4 linked regions of the Lonchura striata genome follow. The protein of the gene in region 4 interacts with the protein of the main gene of each other region in a pairwise test. Links are inferred from orthologs where the notes say so. Each region holds a gene or a part of one and is shown on either strand. Other genes may lie near its edges. The genes, in order: MTUS2, FTH1, RIC8A and SDCBP.

Region 1 (7,167 bases), on a different chromosome or scaffold from region 4:
TGGGCAAGACTGTTTGCTTTACATGATAGGTTTGCCCTGACTGCAGCCATTTATTTCTTATTAAAATAGCCAGACAGCATTCACAGATGAGAGAATTGGTTTAGGTGTAATTTACATAGAGCTCCCCTACATCTTCACAGTACATGTTTCTTTGGGAGGCTGTGTCAAGCCAGTCTGATGAGAAGAGCAGCATAGACAGAGCCAGCTTCTCAGTGTTTACTGGGACACAAGAGTTGTCCCACTTTACCTACACTGATAACAGTTTAAGTGACCCAGTCACCACTTGTGTTAATGGAAAAGTGTCTGTGTTGTTATAGCTATTCAAGACAAGAAGATACCTAAGTTAGTATCAGATAGCCTCATACTGGGACAAGTGTATCAGCACTAGAGTTTTACCCGGTGTAACTGAAGTTTAAGATGGCATTTAAATAAAAATAGCTGCTATGACTACAGCAATTACCTAAATTAAAAAACAGAAACAAAAATAAAACCAAAACCAAAATCCTGAAACAAATTAAAAACAACAACAACAACAAAAAACCACAACCCAAAAAGATATATAAAAATCACACTTTCAATTGCAATTTTGCTCATAAACTGTGTGCAGGGTAGACCTGGAAGGTTAAGGAAAAGTTCCCCTAGGAGACAGTAGTTTATGCATCTTACCCAGTCAGAGCTGGGCACCAGGGAACTGCCTATCTGTGCCCCCAGGCTGCAGCTCCAGTGCCTTCTCCTGTGCCCTCAGCAGTGCTTGCAGCCCAGGGGCTTCTCTGTGGACCCTTCATCATCCAGACCCAAGCTGCATCCTCTGTGGTACAAAAACCCTTAAAAAAATCTTCTGGAGCTAATAGCCTTTAATATGATGTTGCAGCTTTTGCAGCTTTATCTGAGCATAGGAGGAGAGGCTATTTTTTCCCCTGACTTTGATCATTCCCAGATAATCTGTAAAGCTGAACACTGATTGCGTCTCTTGCTTATTTCTGGAGAGAAATGAGCCTTGTGCAGCTTTCTGGCATCCCTAGCTTTGTATTTATCAGTAAGTGCTGCCACGGGCACAGACTGGCTATATCCATGTTGCACATTGCTTGATCCTAGACTCCCATCTGGTGCCCCTGTGGCCCCAAGACATTGGTATTAATGCAGAGATGTTTCCTTTTTTTTTTTTTTTCTTCCAAACCTATGCTGCCTGAGCACATATAAAGCTGTGCAGCAGCCCACAGGAATGGTGTTTTATTGCATGAAATAGGCTATGGATTGTATGACGTTGGGTGATAAATGAAGTTTATGGCTGAAAAACCTCCTGTGACAGAGCTGGCAGACTGTGTAGGGTGAAGGAAATGGGAAGCACTGCAGTCCCAACTCTGCTGCTTGCTGGGGACAATCCCTCCTGTATGGCACCCATAGGCTGTGCTCAGGCTACATGGCATTGGCCTTGCAGCGCACTTAAAATTAATCAGCACGGATGATCACCAATCCAGCTGGTTCCCTGGATGTCTGTCAGTACAATCAGAGCCACTGAGGTTTCCTGGTGCTTGTTTAAACACCAGGGATGAAGCCTGGATGTGCAGCAAAAGGTGCCTCCAGTGTGCCAACCATCCATGCTCTCAACGACAGGGAGGGAAGGCCTGGGGCGCTTGCCAGGTGAGCCATGGCCAAGGAGTGTGGTTATGCCATTCCCCAGTTCCATCATGTCCTGTCTGGTGTGCTCCAAGGCAGGCTGTCCCTGCCCTGGGCCGGGGCCTCCTCTCTGCCTTCTATTTCCAGCTCTATGTGTGAGGCTGTTCTGCCACCTCTCTGTAGCTGCAGCAGCTTGTTCCTAAACACATTGACAAAGTGGGTTCAGCTTGAAACTGCTCTGCCTGAATTTATAAAAGCCATCCGCCCTTCAGTTTCTCATCATTTTCTTTTACTCTTTGCAGCATAAACAGCTATTCTTTTGTTATGCCTTCTGCTTGTTGGAGCTGCATAAGAAATCTTTCTATAGGCTAGAGAACTCTCTTCCAAATGTTGAAGAAAAACAAGTTTATGTGAATTGTCTAGAGCAGATAATTTCAGTTCTGCACAAAATCTAAAAATAAAGCGAGGCCTACATTCTACAGCTAAGTAGCTTTTAATTAGGTGTGATAACAGCATGAGTTATCTTTTAGAGTGCAATAGTTCCATGATCAGAAGTCAAAAGAGGGGAGCAATGATTGTTTGCAAAAATGATTGAGGGAAGAAATTGAAACTGGCAAGTATCTGGGTTTTTTTCCATATAATAGATCTTTTCAGACTGATAAATATTTTGAGTTAATTTGGACTTTCTCTGTTATTGTCCCTGTTTTAATAGAGCCAGTGGATCCTTTCAAATACTGATGTAAAAGAAGGCAGTGAAAGCCTGCTAATTCCCTGTCATCAGTGGCTTCATGGTAATGCCTTTGGACAAGACAAATGGCACTGCTGTTTCCTAAAAATCAGTGGCTGAGGTACAGGATGGCTTCAATCACTTCTTCAGAATCCCCTCTCCTTATTTTAGCCATACATAAGCTCAGGGCTTGAACATAAATCATATTCTGAATTTTGAGCTGAGGTGCAGCCATGCAGCCATGTCTCCTGTCCCGCCTGCTTTGCTGGGAGGCAGGAGGGTTCATGTCCTAAACCACTACAGATAAACTAGCCAGTGCCTGGTTTGTCAGGGTTTGTCCTCCTTTGTGCCAGCAAGAGAGATGCTCTCAGTGACTTTACCAGCTAAGATCCTTTATCTTCATTGTCTTTGTAACTGAAGCGTAGCATTTAGTCCAGCGTGGTGTGGGGGAAGAACACAGCTTTATTCAGCAGGAAGACAAACCTTAAAGGAAGGTCCTTTAAGGATAAAAGACAACGTTATGGTGCCACAGGGATTGTACTTGGCACTTCAGATTGCAGACAGATGCAAGCACAGTGTGTTTGAGCACAGGCAGAAATAAGAAAGTTATTGTGTGCCTGGGAAATAAGGATATATCCTGTGACACTGACTGTCCTGCCGTGTGAGCCTGTAACACCAGCCTGACCAGGCAGGCCCTGAGAAAAGGAAGACTTTCCTCAATACTGTACTGAATCCCATCTGCCAAAGGGCCAGGCTGGCACTGTTATGTAGATAATGGACATTTCTTTCCATGTCTCCCTAGACTCCTAGGCTCTCTCTGTCTCATAGCTCTGTGTAAGCTCCTGGTTATTCTCCCGGTGTCTCCAGGCATCACTGCAGGGGCTCCCAGACAGGAGGATGCTGTGTATCATCTGGCTGGCCTCGCAAACCAGGAATCCCTTCATCACCCCCTCCTGAACAGATCCTCATGCATTTGCCCAGAGGACTTCATAAAAATTAATTGAGTTGCCCAGCATTAGACACAGATGATAAAACTCCCATCTGATCTCGTGCCTGCTTGCCGATTTTAACAGCTGATTGAAACAATAAGCGCTAGCTCACCGGGAATGTAACAATGCCCATAGAGAGAGCTGTAGCACGGGCTGTAGGTGCAGATAAGGCTGTAAACGCACAATAAAGATTCCCTGCCGGTACCACAGAGCTCTCTTTGCTACGGGAGTAAAACCCTCGGGCTGCAGTTTAAGCATAGTAAAAGTGATGGAGATTACCCTCCGAGTTACAAGTTTTGTTGAAAAGCAAAATTGTGTCTCTAGTCGAGTATTTATTTATTCGTTTTTCTATTCTCTTGCTCATTGTAGGGTGAAAGAGAAATGAACTCGGAGCCAAGGAGCACTGGAGGGCAGGCAAGCAAGGAGCAGAAAAGCCATACCACGAGCAAGTCCCTTTTCTTCCTGATGCCATCAGAGGCACTATTACACAGACGCTGACCCTAAACATTTCCCTTCTTCCCCCACCTCCCCCCCAAAAAAACCCCAAAAATCAAACATCCCATTCGGAAACCTAATAACAACCACCTACGTGCTTCCAGGGCGCTAACCTGGGAAATAAAAAACATCTGGGGAGCCACAGGCGCGCCCCACAGCCGCGCCGGCGGGCGCTGTCTGTGCGCGGTGCGCCGCGCTGCCGGCGCGTCTCCGCGGGCGCGGGCGGAGCGCGGGGCGCGGGGCGCGGGGCGCGGGCGGGCCCGCAGGGGGCGCTGCGGGGCGGCGTTGGCCGCTATAAAAGCCGGGCCCGTGCCGGGCCCGCGCCGTCCGCCCGGCGCGGCAGCGGCGGCGCGGCAGCGGCGGCGGCACCGGGGCAGGAGCACCGAGGCGGGTGAGCGCCGCGCGTCCCGCGGGCAGCGCCGGCTCCGCTCCCGCCTCGTGGGTGTGCGCCCCTCCCTGCCCCGCATCGCCCCGGGGCTGCGGTTGCTCCGTGCTCACCGCCCCCGGGGCGCCGGGAACGGGACATGGGCAAAAGCTCCGGGAGATGGGGATAGCTCCTGCGCGGACGGGGCGCGGCGGGGCTGGTGGCTGCTCCTGTACCCCTGGTGCGGGCAGGAGATGGGGGAGCAAGCGCAGCTTGCTTATCAGGGTGGATAATATTTGTGATGAAATCTGTTCAGACAAAAGTTCTAGGGATGCCAATAGCCGGACTGGCTCGAGCGGGCTTCGCTCTCCGTGCGCGGATCGCAATTGCCGGCTGCACGCCAGCAGCGTGCCAGCGGGGCGACAGTGCCGAGGGAAGCAGGGTCCCGGGAGGGCTGGGGACCCCGGGGCACGGCCGAGCCTTCGGCACGGGCCAGCGGAGGGCTCAGGGCAATGCCGGCAGCCCACGGGAGCGCAGGGCTGAAATGCTGCTATTACTCTCAGCCTCGTGCGTGGCATATAACAGCATCACAATATTTTTCCGAAAAATGATGGAAGGTAAAGTAGCTACTACGAATAAAAAGCAGCGTTTTCCTAAGGAGGGAAAGCTAAACGTGGGAAGATAGGGCAGCGAATTCAGGTCTTCCTACTCAAGTAAAATGCCTCTGCTTGAAGAGCTGTTCATCTAGATCGGTCGTTTCCAACTCTGTTTAAATGAGTACGGGTACCCTTTCCCTCTTTGCTTTATCCCCTTCTCTATCTTTGCCCCTGCTTCTTTCTCCCCGGTCCCCATCGCTGCCTCCCGAAGGTAACAGTGCAGAGGAGGCTTGTGTGCCGTCGCACCAGCCCGTACAGGTACCTGTGTTAGGGAGCCAATGATCCCTAACATTGCACTAAACATGAAAAGAATAAGCCTTGACATTTATAGTTGCATTAAAAACTGCAAAGGTAAAAAAATATAAACACCTCTCTGCGGGTCAAGCATTAGAAATATTTGCTTATAAAGCATCGGTAGCAAAATCATTTGCATGTCAAGTGTTTGCATGCAGGTTAACTTTGCAACGGATGACTGCATTAAGGAGGCACTTGGCAGCCGATGAGCTGGATGTAATGTGATGCATAAATGCTTTGTTTTGGTTCGTGTAAATGCTTTGTTTTGGTTCGTGTGTGATTTCATTCAGGGATTGTTTTATGCTCCCTACATCCAGTGCAGTGTTTGTGGGTTTTATTGTTTCTCATCCCCAATTTCAAGCAGGGTTGTAGGCTTTTCTGTATCCCATGCTACATAAACCCTTTACTAGGTCTGCCTGTTTCCAATGCAATTAAATATACCCAGCTACTTGTCTCCTATTTATGCAATCTGTTGTGGAGAGCAGCGCAGCCTGTGCTGCCGGAGAGCGGTAGGAGAGAGCTGCGTGTGTGCAAATGAGGGTTAATGTCTCATTCCATGGTGCCTAGCCTCGCCTTAATTTCTGGAGAATCAGCTCTATTTTAAGGTACAGAAGGGGGATTCTGTAAGCAATTCTTTCAGCGCTACACTGTGAGTTTGGAAATTGCTACCTGGGAACGGGGGGGTGGGGGGAGGGGAGGGATGATCGGATGGGACACAGAGAGAGGAAAATGTTTGTAGGGCTGTGTCCATGTGGTTTATTTGCAGTAGCTTTTAATATGGTACTGTGTTTCTCTGTATATTTGTCACTTTAAGGACAGAGGTGGATATTAGGCTATTGATCTAACAAATGGCAAGTGTAGGGTTCGGTCAGATAAATAGTTTTTCTCTATGGTAGCATTTTCTATCGTGGTACATTTTGTTTTAGTGATAGCAACTGTAACAAGTAGGAAAGCAACTTTAAACTCATAGCCTTACTTTCTGGAGTGTGTATTTTTATGTAAAATACATTTATGTTATAGTAAGCAATATTAGCTATTTAGGAAGATAGGAGAGGTGAGCTAACAGCAGAAGTGCAGCTGTAAAGCACATTAGAGGCTGTGCTGGCAACCTGGTAACCAGTGAGAATCAGTCCTCTCTCCTAAGTTAGGAGAACAAAGATTTTCATCTTGCAGTGTGTGTTCTCTGTTTCTGAAATTCATTCAGGAAGTACCAGAAGTCAGTGTAGGACAGAGTTACAGCCAACTCCACTTACATATGCACTCTCTGGAAAGTCACACAATGGCAGAAAAAGTTAAATAATACAATACAATAGAGACTCATACACAGTAGTTGGTTTAACATTTGATTGAAGGCTCTATAGAAGAAAAGATCTAGGCATAATAATGGATATCTGGGTGAAGATATTTGCTGAAATGCCAGCAGCAAGCAGTGCAAGAGGATCTCTGCTCCTCCTCCTCCCCTGTCCAGATGCTGAGGCTTACTAAAAAGACTATTGAGCCAGCTGATTTAGCAAATGCTTTCACTTGACAAGTACTGCATTTTATCAGAAGTTATTTATAATTATACTGACCTTGTTTAAATGCAACTATTACCAAACCTGCTGCAGTCAGTTTTGTCAAAGAAGTCATAAGCAGCAGAAATTGGAAAGAAAGTAGCAAAGGAGAGCAAAACTTCAGTGTATGGTGGTTTGTTCTTCCCTGAACTTTTTTTACTGCAGACTCAAAACTGATGAAATAGTTTTTCTTTAGGAAAATAATTCAGATGGATTTTTGTACAGCTTTGGCACTATCCTAATATAAGAAGCATCCTTGTGAACTTGGGAATGCTGTTGTTTTCTGTTGCTGGGTATACATTTGATGCTGAATTCTCTGGAAACCTGATTTGGTTGTTGTTCTGCCCTTTGCTATTATATGGTATCATCTTGCTATTCTGGGTTTTCCAGTGGAGAACTGGAAAGAGGATAAGATTCAGTGCTTCATCTAAGGTGACCAGAAAGATCTCCAGAGTTCAACAAATGCTGAAAC
Region 2 (7,958 bases), on a different chromosome or scaffold from region 4:
AAGCAGCCTCTAGTTTTGCTGCAGAACAAGATCGAAGTCAGCCAGGCTTAGGTAGGCTCACATGCTCCAGAACCCTGTAGAGCCAGGCAGCTCAGGAAGCCTCTCCTCTTCCTCACAGCAGGAAGCATTAGCCAAGCCCCTGAACAGATCAGAGACACCCCCACTGCACAGCAAACTCACAGCAGTGGGGATTTATACCACTGGTTTTGTTTCAGAAAGTCCCTCTAACTTGGGCAGGACATTCCCAAGAGTGCTTGGACTTTCACACATATTAATCTCTTCCTGATATTAAGCAACCTCAATCCATCCTTGCCAAAAACTTCCATCTACAAAGAACTCCATGTTTTCAGATACTGTTCTGAAACACCAGGGCTTTTAATATTCTAAACCAACTCTGGAATTTTGTGGCAAAAAAAACCTTGTGACAAAAAGCCTTAAAAAGATGGAACTCAACCCCCTCAGAAATGGTCTCCATAGAGACTGTTCACAGACACCACAGAAGGAATAAAGCAGGTCCCTGTCACTTTAAAAATGCTCCTGGAAGGACAGCAGTAACTCCACCAAAGGACTCTGGAAGGGCTGCAACCCTGGTTCACACCTTTTTTCACCTTTAGCAACACCAGGCACACACAGCTCAGCCCCAAAGCTGCATCCTTGGCCAGCCATGCTGGACCCCCAGCATGCACTTACATGTGGGTCGTTCTTCTCAGTTGCCAATTTGTGCAGCTCTAGCAGTGATTGGTTCACGTTTTTCTCCAGGTGCAGGGCACACTCCATGGCAGTCAGGCCATTCTCCCAGTCATCACGGTCTGGCTTCTGCAAGGGGAAAGCACAGGCAATGCTTTCTGTAAGAACCCACAGACCAGCAGGGTGCAGAGCTTTAGATCACTCTCAAAGCCTGTTTAGATCAAGTTTAGGCATTTATGCAAAGTCAAAAGTTTGAAGAGCACCCTCAGAACAGAACTGATCAAACCCTTGAAGTCCCACTTCTCAAAACAGTGCATAGAGCACATCTGCTCTGTGTTAAATTTAACGATGGCGATGAACCAGTTGCCTTCTGGTTCTGCCCTCATCCCACAGCAAACAACAAGGGGCTCAGCACCCTCTCCTTACACTTTTTGATTAGTCAATCAGCACATATAATCAAATTGCTCCACATCTCAAACTGCTGTGCCTCCCCAGTGTCAGCTGCTGCTCCTTCTGGGGAGGACCCAGAGGAAAATTCATCCCCTCCCAGCTGGGGCCAGCCCCGAGCTCACCTTGACATCCTGCAAGAAGATGCGCCCACCCCTCTGGTTCTGCAGCTTCATCAGCTTCTCAGCATGTTCCCGCTCCTCGTGGGACTGGTGCAGGAAGTACTTGGCAAAGTTTTTCAGGGCCACATCATCCCGGTCAAAATAGTAGGACTGAAAAATAAAGAGTTTACAGGCTCTAAACCTCTGCTCCAGTCCAAGGCCAGGCCAGAAAGGCAGTGTGGAACAACTCTCCCCGAAGTATCATTCGATTTTTCCAGTTAGCATTAAATTTTAACCTGTACCTCTACCAAGGGCACAAATAAATGGTGTTTGTGTCCTTGGCTCAGCTCTAAAAACACAAAAGAACCCTGAACCTCCACAGACACCTGTTCTGAGCACCATTAAACAGCGGCCTTGAAAGGCCTTTTTCAAGGAGAAATCTTCCCTTTGTTTGCCTGAGCTTGTTTACAATGATCACATTGCAAGTCAGGGTCATGACTTGCAACATCAGGTAAGGGTGAGCCAAGAACTTTAGGTACTCCTGCAATAAAACTCTTGCTTCACTAGGCTTTCCAGGGATTAGAATAAGGAATACACTTTCTACTTTTTTTGCAGGAGGGAAAAAAAGTCGCATTTAAAATACAAGAGATAAATTGAGCTACAATATGAATTCAACTGCAACTAAAATATGAATTAAATTACTTTTCTGAAAACAAAGAAAACCGCCCTGTAACAGCAGTCAAAAGCCGTGACACAGCTTGTTTATTCCTTGGTTAGAGCCATTACCAGGATTCAATGCAAAGTTCTGTATGAACTGCCAATTATTTACCGACCTACTCCAGAACTCTGCTCTTAGACCAGCGGCCTGGAGGCTCGAGGCAAAACACCGGTGCTTGTGTACCACTGCCACCCACCAAAAGAAGCTCAAAAAAGGGCTCAGAACCAAACTAACACAGAAGAGAACCTATAAAATACATGCCACAACTCAGCACAGTGCCACTGGGAAGTCTCAATGTCCCAGCACGCCCAAAGCCCCAGGATTGCTGCACAGAGGTCAGGGAACAGCTATAACAGGCGCCTCGGGCCATAGGAGACGTGTAAACACAGGGCCCGAGAAAACCACAGATTCCTACCGATTCCTGGAGGAAAACCCGAGCCTGGGAGGCAAGCACGCCTGCGGGAAAGGCGCCAGGAGCCTCGTTAGGCACCTCCCGCTACCCAGCCCGGCCCCAAGGGCAGAGGCGCTGAGCGCGGCTGATAACGGAGCCGCCAAGGGCAACGGCCCCGCGGAGCAGGCGAGATAAAAGGACCTCACCTACACCCAGGGGACGGCCCAGACGGGCCTGGAGGCAGCGGGGGGAGGAGGAGGTGGAGAAAAAGGAGGAGGAGGAGCTGGGCCCGCAGGCACCGCCCGGCGCCCAGGAACCCCCCGCCGAGCAAGGCCCTCATGCAGCCCCTTTATCTCACGTAGGACCCTTCCCTCACGCCGCCGCGCCCGCGGCTCTCACCATGCTGAGGTACACGTAGGACGCGTAGAGCTCCAGGTTGATCTGGCGGTTGACGGCGGCTTCGCAGTCCTGGTGGTAGTTCTGGCGCACCTGAGACGGGGGCGCTGCCATGGCTGGGGTGCTCCGGTGACTGTGCAGACGGCGGTGTGAGGGAGGGGTGGCGGCGGGCCCGAGCGCGGCCGGTTCCGTCCAAGCACTGTTGACGCAGGAACCCGCTTCGCTCCGCCGCCGACGCGCTGTGAGGGCAGCCCGCCCGCCGCCGCGCCTTTTATACGGCCGCGAGCCAGGCCACGCCCCCGCGGGGGCGCGCGGCGTCCCGGCGCGCCTCTGCTGGCCCGGCGTGACTCAGCACCCGCCCAGGCCACGCCCACCGCGGGGCGGGGCCGCCGCGCGCCGCCGTTTCCCGCCGCGCGCCGCCGTTTCCCGCCGCGCGCGCGCGCCGTCCGTCCCGGAATGGCCGGCGCTGGGAAACCCCCGGAAAATCACCAAATCCGGCCATTCCCCCTCCGCCACGCTGCCGAGCCCGCCCGTGTCCCACATCTCCCTCCCTCCGCGCACGGGGGCTCCGCCGCTGCCCCGGGCGGTGGGTGCCAATGCCTGAGCGCCCTCTCCGTGAGAGGGAAAAAGTTCCCAAAGTCCAATTTAAAGCCAGAAATTAAGGCCAAATGTCAAAAGCCGAACGTGTTGGTAATGGGATGACTATTTCAGCTGCTTTTAGTGCTGTCCCAGTCACTCAGTGTGTGCCATCATTTATTCTCAATAAACATCAGGTTCTTCAGTCATTCAGTTCAGTCATTAATTTTCAATAAGCACTGAAGTCTTAGTATCTGCTTTCTTAAATTTTAACCAGATTACAAGGGACTAGAAAATGCTTAAACTGAGATCATCCCATAGCACTGAATCCCCAGTCTTGGCTTTTCCCAAGCCCACATTTAACCCTGTTTTTTCCCAAGCCAATGTTCCTGCTGAAATCCACCAGAAATAGAATTTACTCAACCTGTAAACTCAGAATAAATAATTTTTCCTCTACCTACTGCGCCTACAAACTCAGATTAATTATTTTTTCCTATATGTACTCAGACCATAAACTCAGATTAAATAATTGTTTTTCTCTCACCAGTTTTTTTACACATTTTTATCCGGTCTTTGACCCTTCCCAGCACTGTGGGATGTCCCATGCGTGACTGCACCAGTGCCTGTTTGTGGGTAAAGGGTACCAGAGCATTTTTCCAGACACTCCAAATGCCCTGGAGGGAACAGGGAGCCTCGGCCTCCCTTTGTTTCAGGGTTTTCTGCTGCTCCTGTCGGTTAACCATCACAAGTAATTAAGATCTATAAGTTAACATGGGTCATACCTATGCTTCAGCAGGCTGCCAGGTACATTTCAAATCTCCTGTTCTCCTCCCACATAAATGCTTATGTAAAAAAAAAAACAAAAAAAAAAACAAACAAAAAAAAAAAAAAAAAAAAAAAAAAAAAAAAAAAAAACAAAGACTAGCTGCTGGGCAGACTCTTTCTTAAATTTTTTTTTCTTTATTTCTGCATTCACAGTGGAGTGTCTTCACAACAGGAACATCAAACAAGATCCATATTTGCAAAGTTTGTAACGGGAATATTTCCTCTGCAGCTCGGACAGTCTGTGCCACTCATGATCACACGTCGGTAGGATTAGGGAAGTCCCAAATTCTGCTTTCTGGAGTTGCACAATGCACATTGTGTTTGATGACAGCAGATTTACATGGTCAAGAGAGGAAACACGGGGTTGCACAGCCATGGGGGTCATGTCTTGGTAACCAAGGTGAAGAATTCACCAGTAATTCAGTTCAGCCATTCCCACATCTTTCCTGTCCCAAATTACTGTTTTAATTTTGACTCCAGTTCATATTGTTTCCTCATGGCTCTGTTTAGGCCTTCTTTTATCTTGTGCTGCTCTTGGTGAAAATGCATTTATAATGAAATCCCTGAATGATTTGGGCTGGAAGGGACCTTAAACATCATCCTGTTCCACCCTTGCAAAGGCCACATGACCTTCCACTATCCCAGGTTGCTCCAAGCCCCGTCCAGCCTGGCCTTGGACACTTCCATGGATCCAGGGGCAGCCAGAGCCTCCCTGGGAAAGCTGTGCCAGGGCCTCTCCACCCTCGCAGGGTAAAATTCCCTCCTAAATGTGAAAATCACTTGATGGAAAGCCCAGCCTGAGTAAGGTGATGCTTTTAGCAGGCTTCTTCCCAAGAATGCCTGTAAAGCTCTCTAGAAAAAAAATTCTTTACTGCTTAGGGAGAAATTCTTTCCTTATTTTAGTACTTTTTACCCCTCAACATTCCCAGCTGCCCAGGGCCTGCCCCATCCTCTCGGCAGCGGCGGTGTGTGGATTTTGAATTCATGTCCCTCTCAGCTGCTTTCTTGGGCTGAAGTAGAGGCATGTTCATGCTGCCCACATGCAAAAACAATGTATTGTCTGCCTACACAAGCTTCAAATTGTTGAAGACAATCCCTGTTTTTCCTTGGATGATATCCCACCAGGAACAATGGAGCAAGCTCTCTTGTTGTTTACAGCTTCGCTACTTTACACAGGGCACAGACCCCAAAATCCACCCATTTAGGGATAGTGAAGCTGAGTTTTAAGCATGCAAAAATAATCAGAGCTTCTTTGGTGAGTGTCTGCACATGATACAGAAAGTTATTAGGTCAGAGATCAAGATATACCCAAAGGAAAAGTTTCCGTGCCTCCTACTCCCTCTTTAGTATCATTTAACCTGACTCCACCCGTGCCCTTCTCGTGCATGACCTTTCCAAAGGGGTAGAAAACAGGACTCCTAAACAAATACTGGGCAGTATTTGCCCAAAGTAAATCTTGATACAGTCCCTGAGCAAAAGCCTTGGCATGTGGCTTAGGCATCCAGTTAGACTTCAGGGAGAGGGCTGCCTTGGTGTGAGCAGACAGCCAGAATGCCCAGGAATGCATAAATTTCATTTCTCACCTGTAGAAATTGTTTACCTCTAGCTTTAAAACACTTGATTTTGCCGTGCTGGTTTAATGGTCTTAATAATAACAAATCCCAGTTAAAAATCAACAACTGTTCCAATTCCAGTGAGCAAGAAAGTGCTGAATATGCCTCAAATGTTAAATCCACAAAAATACAGTAACTTTTTTTTTTTTTTTTTTTTCCAAAGCTCAAAGTCTTGTAAATAAGATAAACTGCATCCAGTCAAATATTTGTTATGGAGAGCTTCCACTCCATCCACAAACTTCAGTGTCATTCAGCTTCCAGGCTTTATGCAAACACAAAAGCAACTCTAAACTTGGCTCCGAGGTTGATCATGCGTCTGGAAATTTGACACTGGTCTCAACTGTGAGTTTTGAAAGCTGTTTACTGAAAACATCTGGGCTCCACTCGCTCTGGGAGTTTAACTGAAAACTCCTTCTTGTCGCTCCTTGGGTAAAACACTCGGTGAAACCTTTTCAGTTTGTTTCTTTTAGGTGCCTGAATTTTTCCAAATGGGAAACCTGGGATTTAGGCAACAAGTTTTCACTGGGTACTTACAGCACAGAATGCAAATGCCTGGGGTACACAGAGCTGCTGGCTCCTGGAAACACTCTCCAAAGGGAGACAGACAAAGGATGTTGGAAGTTATGGAGGGAAATTTGCTTTGGAGACTGAAAATGAAGCTGTTTTTTATGCAGGAAAAAAGTCCAAACACAGAATAATCTGCAGCTTTGTACTACACGATTTTATAGACAAGGAGTATAAAACCCTCTTTAGACAGACAAACTTCTTCTAAGTTGTGAATAGGATTTTTTTCTCTCTGGAGTATTTTTACAGCAGTCTAAACAAAATGCTGTAGGAGATTGCAATTCTCTGATTTGCCCAGAACACCCTTTCTTTAATTTATTTTTATTTCTTTTACAAGCCTTGTAAAAATACACTTAGAGCCAAGAGAGTGAGGAAGAACAATGTTAATAATATAGTAATTCTGTCAGTACAGCCAGAAGAAGGATCTGGTTTGGAATTTACTTGGATGATTTATCCCTTTTTAAACTAGTTTTCAGACTGACTCCTCTATCTGTGAGGGGAAAACTCCATCCCAGATTCCAAAGGCAGCCTATGGCCCAGGTGCATGTACAGGAGCTTTCACAACACGGATTTGCCAAGCTGCAAAAGCCACAATAAGTTTGATGTTGACATTCCACCACAGGCCACAATCCACAACATTTGCTCTACTGTAATGATCCTCCCATGGTGCCATCCACCTTTATTTTCCCCTCTCCCAGATTCACAGTGTTAAAAACAAGGGGGTGGGGATCATCCCTGTCCCCTGTTTCGGTTGTATTGAACTTTTTCTTCAAATACTGTACAAAAATTGCAAATAGACCACACATCTAAAGTCAACAAATATGGGGAAATTTCTCAACACACCACAAAAATCACCTCCTTCTGAGCATGAATTCCCCTGGAAAACACTGGTGGGTGTTGAAGCCCTCATGGATGACCAGGCAGTTTTAATTCTAGACACAAGGGTGAAATGTACTTTTTTTTTAAAGAAGTTTTACTTGGGAATCAAAGAGACAAACAGGTTTGTCCCCCCTGAGGCCATCAGGTAATTTTGTAAGGATGCACAAAGTTGTTCCTTGGATTTAGTGCAGCACTGAGTTTGAGCAGACACTAAATCCCTCAGAGGAGGCTGCTTTTATACTCAGCCACCCAAAAAAGGGACGAGCAGCAAATGCTTTCAAGCATAAGGAGAAGAAACAAGCTTTTACAAGGAGCTGGCAGTTAAAGGACATGCAACAGCCTGATAAAACACCACAAAAACAAGCAGTGGCCCATGGCTGATCTCTGTTGGGCAGGATGGGTGGGGGACACCCCCAAACTGCTGAGCAGGTCTCTCCAGGAACTCATTCCATAGCTTATTCAGAAGTGAAGGGATTCAGCTGATATAGAGGGATGTTCTCAGCAGAAGGAGAGTTTTGTCTGGGAAAAGCTTATTCCTGCTGTGCTGTGCTGGGAGGGGACACTGAATACACTCCTGTGGTTCATGCAGAGGTGCAGCCACAATTCCACAGGGTCCACACCCACATCCACCTTTCCTGCTGGGTACAACTTCCTCCTAAGCCACGTTCAGGCCCTTGGCACTGAAGTAAAAATACTGAAAAGCAGCTCAGGGGGCTCAAGTTGTGCCTACAGAAGTTGTGCTGCTTGTGGAGCAGCGAGGC
Region 3 (7,586 bases), on a different chromosome or scaffold from region 4:
TCGACTGCCCTCCATAGTCAGTCTGGGCCCCTCAGCTGCCCTGCAGGATCCCTGACTGTCTCCCCTGGATTCTCCCGGGATATGGAAGTGCTCTCCAGGAGCCTCCCCCGCCCTCCAGGGCTCCCCCCTGTGCCGTGCTAACTGCCTCATCCAGCTGCTGTGGAACACCTCAGTACCATTCCCACTCTGTGGGAATCAGGAAATAAAGAAACACATCCATAAGGTGCTCGAGACAGCCCTTTCTGGGATCTCTTCAGGATCCTGGGTGCGCGACGGTTGTGGGGACCCCGCGGTCCTCCCCCACCCACCGAGATCCCTCGTGACGCGGCCCCGCGGGGACATCCCGAGGCCCATCGGAGTCCCGGAGCCCTCTCCAAGGTGGCGGTGCCCGCGGGAGGAGTCTCCTTTTTCATACCCTTGTTCTCCATGCCCACCTTGTTCATGAACACCTCCGGGTCGAAGTGGGGCCCGTTGATGTCGGTGGGGTCCGGGGGCGCCTCGGCCGCCTCGGCAGTGGACGGGCCATAGTAGCGCTGCAGCGGCCCGTGGGGACGCCGCCACCCCCCGCCCCCGGTGCTCCCGCCGGTGGCCTCGGGGCTGCCTGCGGCCCCGCTCCCGGCCCCGCTCCCCGTCGTCACGGCCGCCATCGCGCCGCCGCTTCCGCCCCGGCAGCCACTTCCGGCCTGTCCATTACGTCACTTCCGGTGAGACGCCGGGTTGCCATAGCGACGGGGAAGCGGCGCCGGACATGGCGGAGCCCAGATCCCGGGGCCTGGGGCGGCTGCCACGGGGACGGGGCCGGCGCGGCCCGTGTCATGCTGCCCCACGGCGACAAGAATCCTCATTCGGACGCAGACATGGGTGGAGACACCGACCCTCGAGGGCTGAGCGGCCGCTGGCACCCTTAACCCCGGGCCCATGTCTCTCACTGTCCCTTTTCACCACTCTCCACCTGTCCGCAGGCCTCCCCAGTGTCCCGCGAGGCCCCAGTGCCTCCTCGTGCTCCTCTCCCCTCACACCGGGTGAGGTCCTGGGGACCCCCACCCTACCCGAGGGTGGCTCCAGGTGACGCTGGAATTGGGCTGTGAGGCTGCAGGTAAAACCAGGTGATCGACCTTGCACCTCGCACAAGGAACAAACATCTGGGCTAAAAGGTCTAAAATCAGCTTTATTTACAGCAGAAAAGGCAAAATAAACCCTGCCACGGTGAAGGCCAGGCTGCTCCAGGGGCCTTTTGTTGGGAGTCACCTGCTCCAGGAATCACAGGCCGTTGATTCTTCCCAAAGGAAAGAGCCCAGACCTGCCACGTTGCACCAGGAAAGCAGGAAGAGCCAGAGGAAGCTCCTGCTGCCTCTTTTGTCCTTGCCTTTCCTGCACGTTTTCTCCCAAATGTGGAAAAGAGAACACATAATCCAGCCAGGGTGTGTTTTGTGAGCAGTTTGGTACATGGGACAACATTCTCTTCATACCTATGGGCCCGAGTTAGCCCAAGGGCAAAGGAATTCCCACTGGGAACAGGGAGAAAGCAAAGGAACACCCAGCCATCCATCCATGAAGAGGGTTTGCTGGAGAGTCTAAATCAGAGGAGAAGGAATGGCTGAGCCCTGCCTGTTACAGGAAAAGAGAAGCAAATAAGCAAACACACCCTCCAAGGTAAAGCAGGGGTTCCTTTTGTACTCTCTAAATGCATAAACAAAACAGCAAATCCCTCCTTGGATCCCCCCACTCCCAAGAGCACTGCGGGGGGAGTTCCACCTCACTTTATTGGCACTACATCTCCCCAAAGTGCTCTAAAAGCAGGATGCCACGTTAACCACAGTTAACTGGACCTTCTGCCACCGGTATTCTTTACCCTGATTTAGTAACTTAATTTGCACATGTGTGGGAAGGTTCTGGAAGGTTCCACACAAGTGCAAATCCATGTGGTTATGGACTGTGGCCCTCCCTTCCCAGAGGGTCCAGCCTGGTTTGCCCACAAGGATGATAAAGACAACCAAGCCAGGATTTAATGAAAGTCCCGCTCTCCTGCATCTCTTCCCTGCTACAATGTGAGAGTATCCAGGCCCAGATCCATTGCTAATTCCACCCGGATTAGCAATGCACAAGTTTCCTTTCACAGTTTCCTTTCAGCCCAGGGATATGGTCTGCAAGTCCAAGGGAAATGGAGAGTGGCCACACGGAATGTAAGTCACACATTGGTACTCCCAAATCCCCTAAGTCAGCATCCTAAATCCTACAGCTCGCAAAGCTCAGCTGGGTTATGGAGTATCCACAAGTCCCTGGATTTGTTAGTTCCTGGTTTTGATCGAGGGAGGTCATGTGGAAGTGGCCCTTAGAAACAGCCCACGGGATGGAGACAAGGCAGGAGGTCACGGCCAGAGCCATGACCCCAAAATCCTGACAGACACGAAGATCCCTTTGGAGCCAAACTTGTTTTGGAAGAGCTGCCTGGGCCCAGCCGGAGCGCTGACAAGCTGGAAGGAGAAGTCACTGGGAAGGTGGAGGTGTGGCTGGAGGCTCCTCTGGAAAACATGTGGCCAGGTCTGTGGATGGTGAGGTCTGGCCTGTGCCACCTGCCAGCCCGGGCTCAGGTCCCCGCCCGGGACACCAGGTAGTAGAGGATGAAGAAGATGAGGACGAGCACCGCGGACACGGTGAGGAGCAGGCGGCGGTTGTCGCGGCCGGAGCGCGCCATGCCGGAGAAGCGCTTCACGCTGCCCGTCAGCAGCCCTGTCACGCTCAGGAAATCCGAGTCCTGGTGGGAGGAGACACCTTGGAGGCATTGCAGGATCATAGAACTTCCCAAGTTGTAGGGACTCACAATGAGCCAGTCCAGCTCCAACAGCACAGGACACCCCAACAATCCCAGTGCTGATTTAGGGCTTCTTCCTTAAGGGCTTTTGCCGTCCCACCTCTCATCCCAATTCCCTGATTTGCACAGAAAGCCCCGTGTCCCGTTTGCCAGGTCCTTACCATGCCATCCAGGTAGCGGTTCTGTTCCTCAGCATCCTTGTCAATATCCAGAGCCAGCTGCAGGGCAAGGCAGGAAATGGGCATTAATGAGCTTTTAATGTCCAGAGAACCTCTAAAATCTGAAATGCAAATTATTAAAACAAGCTGCTGCTTTCCCAGCTCCAACAGACACACAGGGGCTTGTCTGGTGCAGGAACAAGGAAAATGGCATTTCCCTGTCAGGTGAACTTTTTCAGCTCTGAAAATAAAGCCTGGCTGTCTAAATCTGCCAGCTAGAGAAGGTAGTTTAAACCCTGGGACACAATGGCAGGAATTCAGCTTGCCCTTTTACACAGTGAGTCATCAACTTCTTTCATGGTTTGTACTACACTTTTAATAATAATTTAGAGCTTAAAGCTCTAAATCAAAGTGTTTGATGTTAATAGGAGCAAACCAGCATTAAGAACAGTTACACAGAGACACAGGTATTTTCCAAAATTAATCTGCCTGCCTTTTTTCCATTAATTTTTCCCCAAGGATGTGAGCTTAGCAACACTCCTGTGTTCAGGTTAGGCAGGGCTTGGAGCAACCTGGTCTAGTGGAAAGTGTTCCTGTCCATGGGAAGGGGTGGGACTGGATGAGCCTTAAGGTCCTGTCCAACCCAAACCTTTCCATGGTTCTGTGATCCCCTGCAGGACTCCCAGGTAATCAGAGCCTGTCCTTCACCTCAACACCTGCTGTGACCTCGGCACTCACCGACTTCAGCCTGGTGACCTTGCTGGCCAGGCTGTCGGCCATCCGCTTGTTCTCCACATCCAGCAGGTCCTCCATGGCGCTCGGGCTCTGCCCTGGGGAGAAGAACGAGGAGCACACATCATGCCTGCCGTGCCACAGCACAGCTCTGTTCCCACCACAGCCCCTCCACACATGCTTTGTGCAGTGGAACCTTCTGAAAATGTGACCAAAACACCACAGACTTCCCCCAAACAGGCCAGGGTGAGAAGCCAGAATTCAGGGTATCTGAAGTGCCACCCCAGCCCAGCAGCAGCTGTGGGGGTTCCATGGCCAGTGACATCCAGGGGTGAGATTTGGGTGAAACCCGGGGCCCTCTGCCCCTCGGCCGTGCTGGGGTCTCTCGGCATTGCCCCCATTGTGGGGCAGGTTGGGGCTGGGGGGGATTAGGAGTTCTGGGGCAATTAGGGGCTATGGGGGCTCTAAGAGGTATTTAGGGTTTATGGGGGGGGGGGGCTTAGGGATTCATGGGGACAATTAATGGATAGAGGGAGCAATTAGGGGCTCGGGGGGGCAGCCCAGAACCCCAAAAAAGGCACAGGGAGGCAATTAGGGCTTACGCGGTGGGGGGGGTGGGGTGTTATTCCCGGGCTATAGGGGGAGAAATCGGGGCACTGCAAAACGCCCCGCGGGGTTCAGTGGGATCGGGAGTTCCTCCTCCCTCCGAGCCGCTCCAGCCCCTTCTGCCCCCCAAACCTGTCGCTGTCCCTCGTCCCCTCACCTCGGCCCCGCTCCGCCATGGCTGCCCCGGCCCGTCCCGCCCCGCCGGGCGGAGCCGCCACGAAATGTCCGCCCGCTCTTCCTCCTCCTCCTCCTCCTCCTCCTCCTCCTGCCCCCCGGCGCCGGGACCCTCGGGCCGCTCGCCCGGGCCGGGGCGGAAGGGCTGGAATTCCCTCCCGAGGGATCCCGGGCCGCAGGTACGGCCGGCGCCCTGCCCGGGCACAGCGGCGGGACAGGGGCTGGGGGAGGAAACAGCGCCTTGCGGGCAAAAACCGGGGGGTTGGGGACAAATATAGGGCTTTGGGGACTAGAATAGGGGTCTGGGGGCAAAAAGAAGTTTTGGGGAAATAATCAGGGGTTTTGGGGGTGGGGAAATAGAGGTTTAAGGGGAAAATAGGAGCTTGGGATAAAAATAGAGGTTTGGGGGGAAATAGGGGCTTGGGACAAAAATAGAGGTTTGGGGGGGAAGGTAGGGGTTTAGGGATATAAACGGGGTTATGGGGACAAAAAAGGAGGTTTGGAATTTACTCAGATGGTGAGGGAAGGAGGTGGCAGTAGGAGTATGGAAATGGGGATATGCCCAATGATCCGTTGGTTAATGTCATCCCTCCAAAAGCAGAGGTGGATCCCCTCCATCCCAGCCCCTGCACATGGGGATGCTGCCCCGGGCCAGCCCAGCCTCCTGTCTCCGCAACTGTCCGCCTTCCAAAATGCAGGATCTGCCTCTTTTGGTCCCCCCAAAACGCCCCTCTGGGGCTGCGTGGGCAGGAGGGGACAGCCCGTGTGATTCCCAAACCCCGGGAACCCTGTGCCTGGGATCCCGGTTTGTTGAGGTTGGTGTGACCAGCTCAGCCTCATCCTCATGGCAACACGGAAGCCGAACACATGTCCGAGCTCAAATCTGCTGGATTTCCCCCCATGGGAATCATGTCCCAGCGCCCTGGGCTCGCGTGGCTCCGTGAGCCGCTAAACCGGTGCCGTGTCCGAAATAATCCCGCGGTGCTGCGCATCTGCTGGCTGGCACTGTCGGCAGGGACATCCTCGCCCGGCGGTGGCCTGCAGGGATCGGCCATGATCCAGCCCGCCACCAAACCCTCCTGCTCTGCTTCCCACCGCCTGCAGCCGGAGGATGCTCTCCCGCCTGGCTGCCTCGCCGCTCCGTCCCTTGTCACTCCGCGGCAATGTTTCGTGCTTTATTTGTTATTTTCCCCCTGTGCGGCAGCAGAAATCAGGGCAGGCGGGGAGGAGGAGGAGGAGGAGGAGGAGGAGGCAGGGAGCTATTTCAGGGAGCTGCTGTTATCTGCTCCACGTTAATCTCCAGCTGGTGGGGGGAAGGTTTTCCCTGAGTGCTTTCCTGCGAGGGCATATATTAAACATTGAAAAGCAAAGCGAGGAAGAAGAGGATTAGCAGGAGAGAGAGAGAGGAAGTTGGCTGCTGGCTTTGCTCGGGTTATCCATCTGCTCCACTTTTATGGATGCAGCAGTGTGAGCAATATCACTTGGGATTTTTTTGTGTTGTGTTTTTTCCCTCCTTGCTCTCTCCACCCCTTTCTCTCTTCCCTCTCAGAGGTCTGTGTGCCGAGCTGCTTTTCCATCACCCTGGAAATCCCCTTGCTCCTCTTCTTCTGGGGCTGTGCCATAGCTGAGCTGTTGGGATAATGGAGCTCCAGGCTGTGGTGTCCACGCTGGAAAGTGGGGAGCAGGACACGGTTCTCAAGGTGCTCCAGGTCTACAACCAAGAGGTGAGTGAGCATCAACGCTTCCCTCATCTCAGGAACTCCTAAAAAAATGATTATCAAGATCCCAAGTAAAGCCTGGCCTGGAAATAAGAGTCAGGGTGAGGACTGAGTAGGAGGAGCTTTTATGTTAAGGTAGTTTTGGAGGTGCTGAGAGAATCCAGGGAGGGGCTGCAGGTGAAACGATGTTGGGATTTGCAAGTCAAAAGATGATTGGAGGTAACTGCTGGGATCTCATATGGGCATGGCTCTGAAAGCAGTAAATAATGAATGTAGAATGTAGAATATCAAACCCCAATGATCTGGAAGCAGAGATGGAAGTGTTTCTAGCCTTAAAGTAGGAAAAGATAATCCGTGGTGGTAAATCTCTGCTTGGAGAAAGGAGACTGAGGGGAGACCTCAGCCATTTACATCTTCCTCCTGAGGGGCAGTGGAGGGGCAGCTCCAGTGTCTGCTCTCTGAGCAGTAACAGGACCCAAGGGAACAGCTGGAGATGTTTAGGTTTTATATTAGGAAAAAGTTCTTCCCCCAGAGGATGTTTGGGCACTGAACAGGCTCCCCAGGGAATGGGCACAGCCCCAAGGCTGCCAGAGCTCCAGGAGCATTTGGACAGTGCTCTCAGACACAGGGTAGGATTGTTGTGGTGTCTGGGCAGAGCCAGGAGCTGGACTGAATGGATTGTGTGGGTTCCTTACAGCTCAGGATATTCTATGGCTCTGTGAAATCCTGTTTGAAACAGACTCTAGTTGTCAGAGAAACTCGGAGGTTTCCCCTGAGAGGGGCTGGCCCTGTGGATCACTCTGACTCACTCTGCACCAGGCTGGAGTAGGTGGAAGCCAGCAGGGAAAACCTGAGGAATATTTTGCAAGAGTGTGTGAGAGAGGGAGTGTGTGGAGCTATTCCTAACAGTCAGATTTGGAACGGGGAGATATTGGCCAAGAAGGAGCAGGTGTCTGTTAAGGACAGCACTAAGGATTAACAGCACCAGCAGCAGGTGCAAACAGTGTCTGTGTGCCCCCAAACCATGATATTTCCTGTTGGAGTCCCCCAGCTGGGTCCTTCCTGGGGTATTGAGCCTAGGGAACTGCAGCCACAGGGTTTGCTGGCCTGTCTGGAGGAAATGGAGCAGTCAAAGAGGATTATGAATCTGCAGATAAACCTGGCACTGCCTGGCATTGCTTCTGCTGCAAGACTAATGGTTCTGTACGCTTTTCCTCTGGATTTGTTTTTAATTCACTGTTGTGCATGCAGTTTTTGCTTGCTGGGAATATGCTACAGCTAAAGCAAAACCCCAGGTGTGGCCAAAATACCCCCAAATGGGATTACAGCCTGAAAAGAGGATGTGCTGAGGGAACAAGCAGCCTGCTTGTGGAACACGGCAGTGGC
Region 4 (7,442 bases):
GAGTTGGAATAGTAGACAGGAAATTGGGCATGAACTGCCAACTGAACAGTGGAAAATCACTGACTGAATGCCATCAACCCTGTGGGTGTTATATTATAATGCTCTTACAAGTAATAAATAATAATATGAAAGTAATGTTATAATGCCCTTAAAAGGCAAGATCAAAAACATATGAACAAGGAATGGGGAAAAAAGTTACCTAGCAGTATCTAATATTATGTAAATTACTGTACTCCTGTAATGTAATCTCTTCTGCATAATTGGGTTTCATGCTGAAAATTTTGTTTTCACATGGAAAGTATAAAAATTCTGGTACATGAAGTCTAGAGGTACACCTCAGATGCAATGCAGCCCCACAGTTAATTAAGCTGCTTTGTGGTAAATTTGTTCTAGAAATACAAACATGTTTGGACACTCCTTTCACCTTACTTAGAGAAGGATCCGTTAAGTACCCCAGGTATGGAACCACCTTAATACAATTACTCTGTTTCCAGTGCTGACAGGGTGCTATCTTGCACAATTTGTACATGTTTTGAGTGACCAATTGTGGAATGGGTGGAGACCTTCCTTACAAACAAAAGCACAACCTGTTTTCAGCTTCAAAGGAGAAATGTGAATTTTTCAGTAATAATTATGTATTAATTTTGTTAAGATTTTTTCAACAGCTAAGACTGATACTGATCAGTGGGTGGTTTCTGTTATTCTTTGACAGTTGGCACTAGACCAGCAAAAAACCCACAAAGAGTACACTGATGATGGAAAACTATCACACTTGCCCGTAGGTATTCTAATTTAAACAAGCAAAGTCTAATAACTTGGCTATTTGTTCCACTTCTTTCAAACAATAGATGCACATACCTCAGGAACTAATCTAGAGCCATTTATTTGGGCAATTCTCCTCTGACTCCTTAGAGCTCCCCAGTATCAGTGGAGTTTTTAGAAAGACATGGCCTGGCCCTTCTTCTGCTTCCCTCCAAACTCCAGGACACAGAAGTATCTCCCTTGCCCCAAGTGCTCAGTTCATGTCACAGAGTGACTGAGGCACATGGCACCCCCTTCCAAAATTTGGTTTCCCTGGGAAAGAAACGAGATTAGACAAGTGGCTGGAATTGTCTTTGGTCTGTGTGTTTAAAGGATGAGGACCCTGAGACATGCTGAACTGCATAGATTAGACATACCCATTTTTCAGCAATTATCTTTCTGGTTTATTATGTTTTGTTCCTATATTTAAATGAACAAAGCTTTGTTTTTTTTGAGAAATTGAGAAAGCTTTTCAGTACAAAAGTATACTCTCTCTCCCAATAGCTGTTCTTAAGCAAGAAGAAACAGCCTTATGCAGTTTTTCAAAATCTTTATTGAAATCATGTTTCACAATACATTGGGAGATGAGGATGATTCACTTTTGATACCAAGGTGGATGTCCTGCAGGTGGACATGGTGCCAGAGCTACTGCCCATAACTTGGACCATGTTTGCTCTTAGATTATATACCTGCAATAGGGCACACATGGCATGCTCAAAAAGTAATAAACCACATGGAACCAACTATTTGGGCTAGGACATCATGATAAAGAAAATGAGCATCCATTACAGTCTCATGGGTAAGATCAGGGAGGGTGCACTGACAGTGCAAGTCAGATACCCACTGGAAAAAGCTCTGCCCTGGATTACAGCAGGCTATCTTGAAAGACCACAAAGAGATAAAGTAATGCAGAAAACAGCAAATAACAACCTAGCTTTCTAGAGAGAAGAAAGCTCTTTGCAATGAGAGGAGCATTCAACATCAAACTAAAAGAAAACACTATCCTTCAGTTGTCAGCACTGGCACCCAGCAGGATTGCACTGGAAAACTGTCAGTCACACACCTGCAATTTCCATGCTACATGAATACCACAGTGTCTTTGTTCTTCAGGGTGGGTCCAGGCCTTTACTACACTGACCTCATTTCAGGATGAAGAGTGGAACACTTTGAGCACAGTTTTAAAACTTTCACTGCACTTATGTTAAAATCTCCTTTGGCTACATAGAAAATTTAGCACTTCTAAAGACGTAATCATTGGTCATTATTAAACTAGAGGTAGATTCCCTCCCTTCCTCCTGGCCCAGAAGACTTGTAATACAGGATTTTTGTGAACTTATACCCTAAACCTAAGATTTCACTTCACATATATTTAATGACCCATAGCTGCATGACTCAGCAGCCAATGGTTCAGGTAGTGGCATTCAGGAAGGTTCCAGGTCTGGCTGAATATTGGATATAGAAACAGGAGCCTCCTGAGCAGCCAGAGAGTTGCTGTTCCTCTGTATTCAGCACTGCTGCAGTTACTACCCCAGCCCCTGTGGTGCTCACCAAAGATGCTGGCAGCTGGAGAGAATCAAGAACTGGAAAATACACTGCAACAACAACAGAAAAATATACATTGTAACAAAGTTTCTGTTTAGCTTAACTAAGGCTATTATTGTGCTCAAATGATGAAAAAGCCTGTTAGTGCCAGAGTGGATCAAAACAACCTTCCCTCTCATTCCCATTTCTCCTGCTTCCTCCTTTCTCCTGTTTCCAGCACACACTCCCTTGCTCTGGCTCATGCTTGTGCTTGAGAGAGCCTTTTATTGCCAGTATGGCTCACTAACCAGCAGAAAAGCATCCATGTTTTTTGGTGGAGAAATGAGTTAAGCTTTCTCTCAGAAGAGCTCAGCAACTGCTGGAACTGGCTGAGGGCAGGAGAAAGAAACCGTAGGTGGGAGCAGACCTCCTGCCTAGGTGCTGGAAGACTGCTCAATACCTCTACTGAATGCTCTTCCTAGGTGAAGAGAAGCTCTAGGGCACTCAGCACATTTAATTGTCTGTGTGATGAACAATATTTGACAACAGGCAAAGAATTGTAATGAAGAAGGGAAGACCAAAAATTGATGCTAGATTAGTTCATACTCTAAATAAGGCAAAGGCAGGTAATTATGGTAATTGATTTATGAAAACCTCTTTCCGAGCTTGTTCTGGGATTTCTCTGTTGCTGGTACACTTTACATCATGGTTTCTGCAGGGAAGCCTCTCCAGGATAAAAGCTCTGCTTCTGATGCCTGCCCGTGGGAGAAGGCTCAGGCAGGTGCTGGACCGTGGGACAGGTGATGTGGTCCACTCTGGCTCTGATGTGTCACAGCTTGCCCATCCATGGCAGACATGCAGAACAAGGCAGACACGAGGCCGTTAGTGGAGTGTGCTTTATTACAGCAGAAAAAAAAAAAAGGAAAATGAGCAGAAAATCATACTTTTTCTCCATGAGGACAGCAACTATCAACTAATAAAGGCACACAAATGAGTCTAAGGCCCTACAAAAACAAAGAAATCTCAGGGGGAGATTGATCACTCTCTACAGTTCCATGATTGGAAGTTACGCTGAAGTGAAGGCCAATCTCTCCTGCTGTCGTTGCAGTGAGGGGACCAGAGCAAATGGCCTTAAACTAAAACAGGGAAGACTCAGACACTTATATATATATATATATATTTTTTTTTTTTTTTCACTGTACAAGTGGTCAGGCACTGGAATGGGTTTGAGAGGAATAGTGGATTTGTCTTTACAAACAAGCTGTTGGTCTGCTAGTAGATAAAACTAGCACTGAGAGATAAAAAAAAAACAATGGGAAGGATTCCACTGACTGATGAATGGAAAAGGATATTTGCTTTTACCAATAAGCTCTAGGTTTGCTGATAAATGAAATTAGACATTGAAAAATGAAAGAAACAAAGGGAAAAACCCCTAAATCCCGTAAGAATTAAAAATTAAAAGGGAGGGTTATACATTAGAGGGAAATCTTTGGTATCAGGCGTATCGGGAACTCTGTACCTCTCAAGTACCTCAGCCAATGGGGAAAGAGAGAAGGGAAATGTGGCCGGGAAAATAGTATAAAAAAGGAGGCTGCATCAACCAAAAATTTGAGATACCCCTGGGGAATGTCCCATGACCTCTCCCTTTATTCGAATAACGTAAATGGACTCCTCTGTCTCCTTTTTGGACATAAAGCTCTGATGTTTGTGGATTAGTTTTCCTGACAAGTTGTTCAGGGAGGTGGTGGAATCAGCATCCCTGGAGGTGGTTAAGAGGCGTCTGGATCTGGCGCTGGGTGATGTGGTCGACTGGTTACAGCGATAGTGCCAGGTAGACGGATGGTCTGGATGATGTTGAAGATCTCTTCCAACTTTGATGATTCCAAGATTCTTCGTGAAACAAGCGGCCAGAGGGGAGCGGGGCACCGCCGCCCCGCAGCCGCGGGCAGCCAAACCCGGCCCGGGCGGCCGCGACCCCTTCCAACTTTGATGATTCCAAGATTCTTCGTGAAACAAGCGGCCAGAGGGGAGCGGGACACCGCCGCCCCGCAGCCGCGGGCAGCCAAACCCGGCCCGGGCGGCCGCGACCCCTTCCCCGCCGCCGCCCGGGCATGCGCGGGGCCGGGCCAGTTCCGCGCCGCCCCGCTCCCTTCGCAGCGGCGCTGCCGGCATCCGGGGGAGCCGCTGCGGCATCCAGGGGAGCCGCCCCCGCGCCCCTCTCCGTGCTGCGAGCCCCGGCGGACGGCAGCCAGCACCCGCTGGGCCGGAGGTGAGCGAGGGGCCGGGCGGGTCCGCTCCCCGCCGCCCTTTGTGCGCTCCGCGGGCGGGCATGGCGGGGCGGGGAGGGGGCGCCGGCGGCCCGGCCGTGCCGCTGCGAGGGCGGTGTGGGCGCCGCTCCAGCCGCGGGGCCGCCGCTCCCCGCAGCCGGCCGGGGCAAGGCTTCAGCCGGGCGCGGGGCGCTGCCGGCCCCGGACGGGGAGAGCAGGGGGATGAGGCCGCCCTGTGCGACCGTCCGTGCGCGGCCCTCGCCTTTGGAGCGCCTTCTGGGCCCTCGCTGGGGCTCCGCAGCGCCCGCGGGCTCGGGCGTTTGTCTCAATTCTCTTTGACGGGCCGAGAGGTGCTGCGGCGGTGCAGTGACACCACGGGCCTTCTCAGGCAGGCCAGCCCTGCTTCAGGGCTGAAATGGAGGCAGCAGGTTTCGGAGCTGAGCGCATAATGAGGGCACTTGCTCCCAGGCTAATTAGATATGTATCAGAAGGCGAATGCTGAGTTACTAATGGAGAACGTGTCTTACGAAACCGCTCCTCGGTTCGTGATGTCTCAGCCTGACTGACCTTCGGGAAGTGTTGTCCTCGGTCTGCTTTAAACATGAATTTCGGGGCTCATAAGCTTCTAATTTTTGGAAGTGGGAACCAATGTTCCATTATAGTTGCCAACATTGTTACCTGCTGTACTTTTTCCACGGGCTACAGGAGGAAAACATACGGGGAGGGGGGGTGGCGGGGTTTTGTTTTGGTTTGTTTGCCCCCTCCCACAGTTTTGGCTGCTGGTATTTTAAAAAACAGCAGTCACTACAGGCTGGCCAGATTGGGGTTTAGCAGGGCCATCCTGTGTTGGCGTTCATACTTTCCGACCTGAAGAATGAGTCGGGAAGCCGTCTCCTCCCAGGAAGGCCACCGAAAGCAGTTCGGGATCACTCCCACCTTCGAGACTTCCTGCTGGCAGGCTCAGGGTGTCACGAGTGACGCCTTTCATGCTTCTCCGATCCGTGCCCCGGTACTTCCCTCTGGCAAACAGGATCTCCTTAGTGGGACGTGCTGGCAGGAGGGCCCGACTTTCCAGCCAAGTGTACTGGAGAGGGGGGCGAGGTCTTTACTGCCAGGTTTTGTGGGTCGCCAGCTGAGTTACAGCCCATGCCCATCCTTTTGTTTTCATTTCTACGTCCCTAAACGCTTGGTCTCCTCACAGTATGTGCAAGTGTGGAAATGACTGGGGAAAGTGATTCTGATGTTGGTGTAGATTTTTAAGAGAGAAGAGGAGGTTGTAGTGACTCATGATTTGTGGTATCCACTCCCTAATGCTTAAAGCCGTTACAGCACCAGCTGAAATTCATGTTTATACTATGAAGAACACTGGACAGAAGTCGTGGACAAGTTCTTCCTGCAATTAAGGGTGGTCCCTGATGGTGTCAATTTTTACTTAGAAATCTTTTTTAAACTAAATATAATATTTTTGTGGCTCTCACACTATCTAACATAGGGTATCTGTGTTACCATATGCAAAGTTATGAGCTCACTGAATGCAATTACAGTGGTGACTGCTACTCTAGCTAATTTAGTTGGAAAACCAAAACCAGGAACTGGTGAGTTTATGATGGGGGAGCCACCCCAGCAGAACCTTGGTGACAAACACTTGGGTTTGTTAACCCTTTGCTGGGGAGGGGAGGCTGAGGGGGTTGTCAAGGGGCAGGATAAACTTCTGGAGTGTTCTCTAATGTAATCTGAACAGTAGTATAAGTTTAGCTTTGCTAATGCTTTTCTACAGAAAGCACTGTGCTCCTCTTTATAAACTGGTGGAAGGTTGACTGACGCTGTCTGTGACAAGTTACTGTTTGCAGAGACTGATCTGTGGAGGAGAAATAAAGCTGGCCAGGGTGCTCTATGGAAGTTGGTCACTGGGGCAGGGGACCTGGCAGTCTCTGTGCTGATCTCTGGAGCTCTGTGGATACTAGGATCACCACCTGCAAAGTGCTGCTGTTGCATCCCTCGTCGCCCTGCCATGGGGTGACTCCTTGGGAACACACTGTCCTTGGCCTGCCCTCTTTTGCTGCCCGCTGCCAAGGTTGTGCTGACTTTGAACATGTGCCAGTGCTGGGACCAGCACCTGAATCTACCAGGGCTGCTGTAGCACAGAAGGAGATGCCGAGTTTGATGCTGTGTGTACCTTGACTTGTGTGAGTGGCAGAATGGAGGATCCAGGAACCACTTACCTGACCAAGAGCTTTGGCTTATGTTTGCTATTAGCCATTCTGGATGAGCAAAAGCATTTCATAGTTTCAGGTCGATGCTGGATTAAAACAGAACTTCAAACTGACCTTAAATGCATGTGTTTAATTGATAGTTTTCAGGCTTTAACTATGCTTGGTAGACTTGCAACAGTTAATCAAAAAAGTCAAGGCAATTAATTATTGTAATATAACAGACCATGTGTTTACAGTTTAGATCTCTGGCACATTTAGAGCATGCTTTTTTTAAGTTTTAATTGCAGTTTGACATGATGCTGGAGCTATTGGGCACTGCTGAACAAACATAAAAGCTGTTAATGAATTTAGTGTAATATGAAGAGATATCTATTGTGTTACTGCAGTATCACATTATGCATCTTTGTGTGTGGTGTTCATTTAGAAATGGACTTTGTATCTGCACTTAAAGAAGCAATAGCTCAGGGATTTATGTGATGGTCACTTTCAGTCTCAAATTTTTGCTAAATTGCTACTTTAAGAAGAACCTCTTTTCTTTCAATGAGAAAATGAATCCCCAAACCAAAAACTTTAATAAAACTTATGTATTAACAATGTTCTCAATACCTTCTGTGACTTGAAAAACTGTATCACATTTTAT

What was found.
Region 1: the proteins of SDCBP (region 4) and MTUS2 interact in binary tests that used the Homo sapiens proteins (3 or more experiments, as listed by UniProt). The two-hybrid records come from large-scale screens. The link is inferred for Lonchura striata from reciprocal best matches to the Homo sapiens genes SDCBP and MTUS2.
Region 2: the proteins of SDCBP (region 4) and FTH1 interact in a two-hybrid assay, tested with the Homo sapiens proteins (2 studies listed by BioGRID and IntAct). The two-hybrid records come from large-scale screens. The link is inferred for Lonchura striata from reciprocal best matches to the Homo sapiens genes SDCBP and FTH1.
Region 3: the proteins of SDCBP (region 4) and RIC8A interact in binary tests that used the Homo sapiens proteins (3 or more experiments, as listed by UniProt). The link is inferred for Lonchura striata from reciprocal best matches to the Homo sapiens genes SDCBP and RIC8A.

Annotation. Positions count from the first base shown.
Region 1 is NC_134604.1:68,699,019-68,706,185, reverse strand, and holds the start of MTUS2 (microtubule-associated tumor suppressor candidate 2), read left to right. Parts: upstream 1-4,150; 5' UTR 4,151-4,219; intron 4,220-7,167. UniProt on the Homo sapiens protein: Binds microtubules. Together with MAPRE1 may target the microtubule depolymerase KIF2C to the plus-end of microtubules. May regulate the dynamics of microtubules at their growing distal tip.
Region 2 is NC_134608.1:54,089,726-54,097,683, reverse strand, and holds the start of FTH1 (ferritin heavy chain), read right to left. Parts: upstream 3,002-7,958; 5' UTR 2,855-3,001; coding exon 2,744-2,854; intron 1,407-2,743; coding exon 1,260-1,406; intron 817-1,259; coding exon 691-816; intron 1-690. UniProt on the Homo sapiens protein: Stores iron in a soluble, non-toxic, readily available form. Important for iron homeostasis. Has ferroxidase activity. Iron is taken up in the ferrous form and deposited as ferric hydroxides after oxidation. Also plays a role in delivery of iron to cells.
Region 3 is NC_134608.1:53,231,494-53,239,079, forward strand, and holds the start of RIC8A (chaperone Ric-8A), read left to right. Parts: upstream 1-4,574; 5' UTR 4,575-4,661; intron 4,662-6,031; 5' UTR 6,032-6,122; coding exon 6,123-6,206; intron 6,207-7,586. Other genes in the region: VPS51 (vacuolar protein sorting-associated protein 51 homolog), read right to left, coding at 435-647; BET1L (BET1-like protein), read right to left, coding at 2,588-2,755, 2,974-3,030, 3,709-3,800, 4,466-4,484.
Region 4 is NC_134603.1:38,160,875-38,168,316, reverse strand, and holds the start of SDCBP (syntenin-1), read left to right. Parts: upstream 1-4,435; 5' UTR 4,436-4,591; intron 4,592-7,442. UniProt on the Homo sapiens protein: Multifunctional adapter protein involved in diverse array of functions including trafficking of transmembrane proteins, neuro and immunomodulation, exosome biogenesis, and tumorigenesis.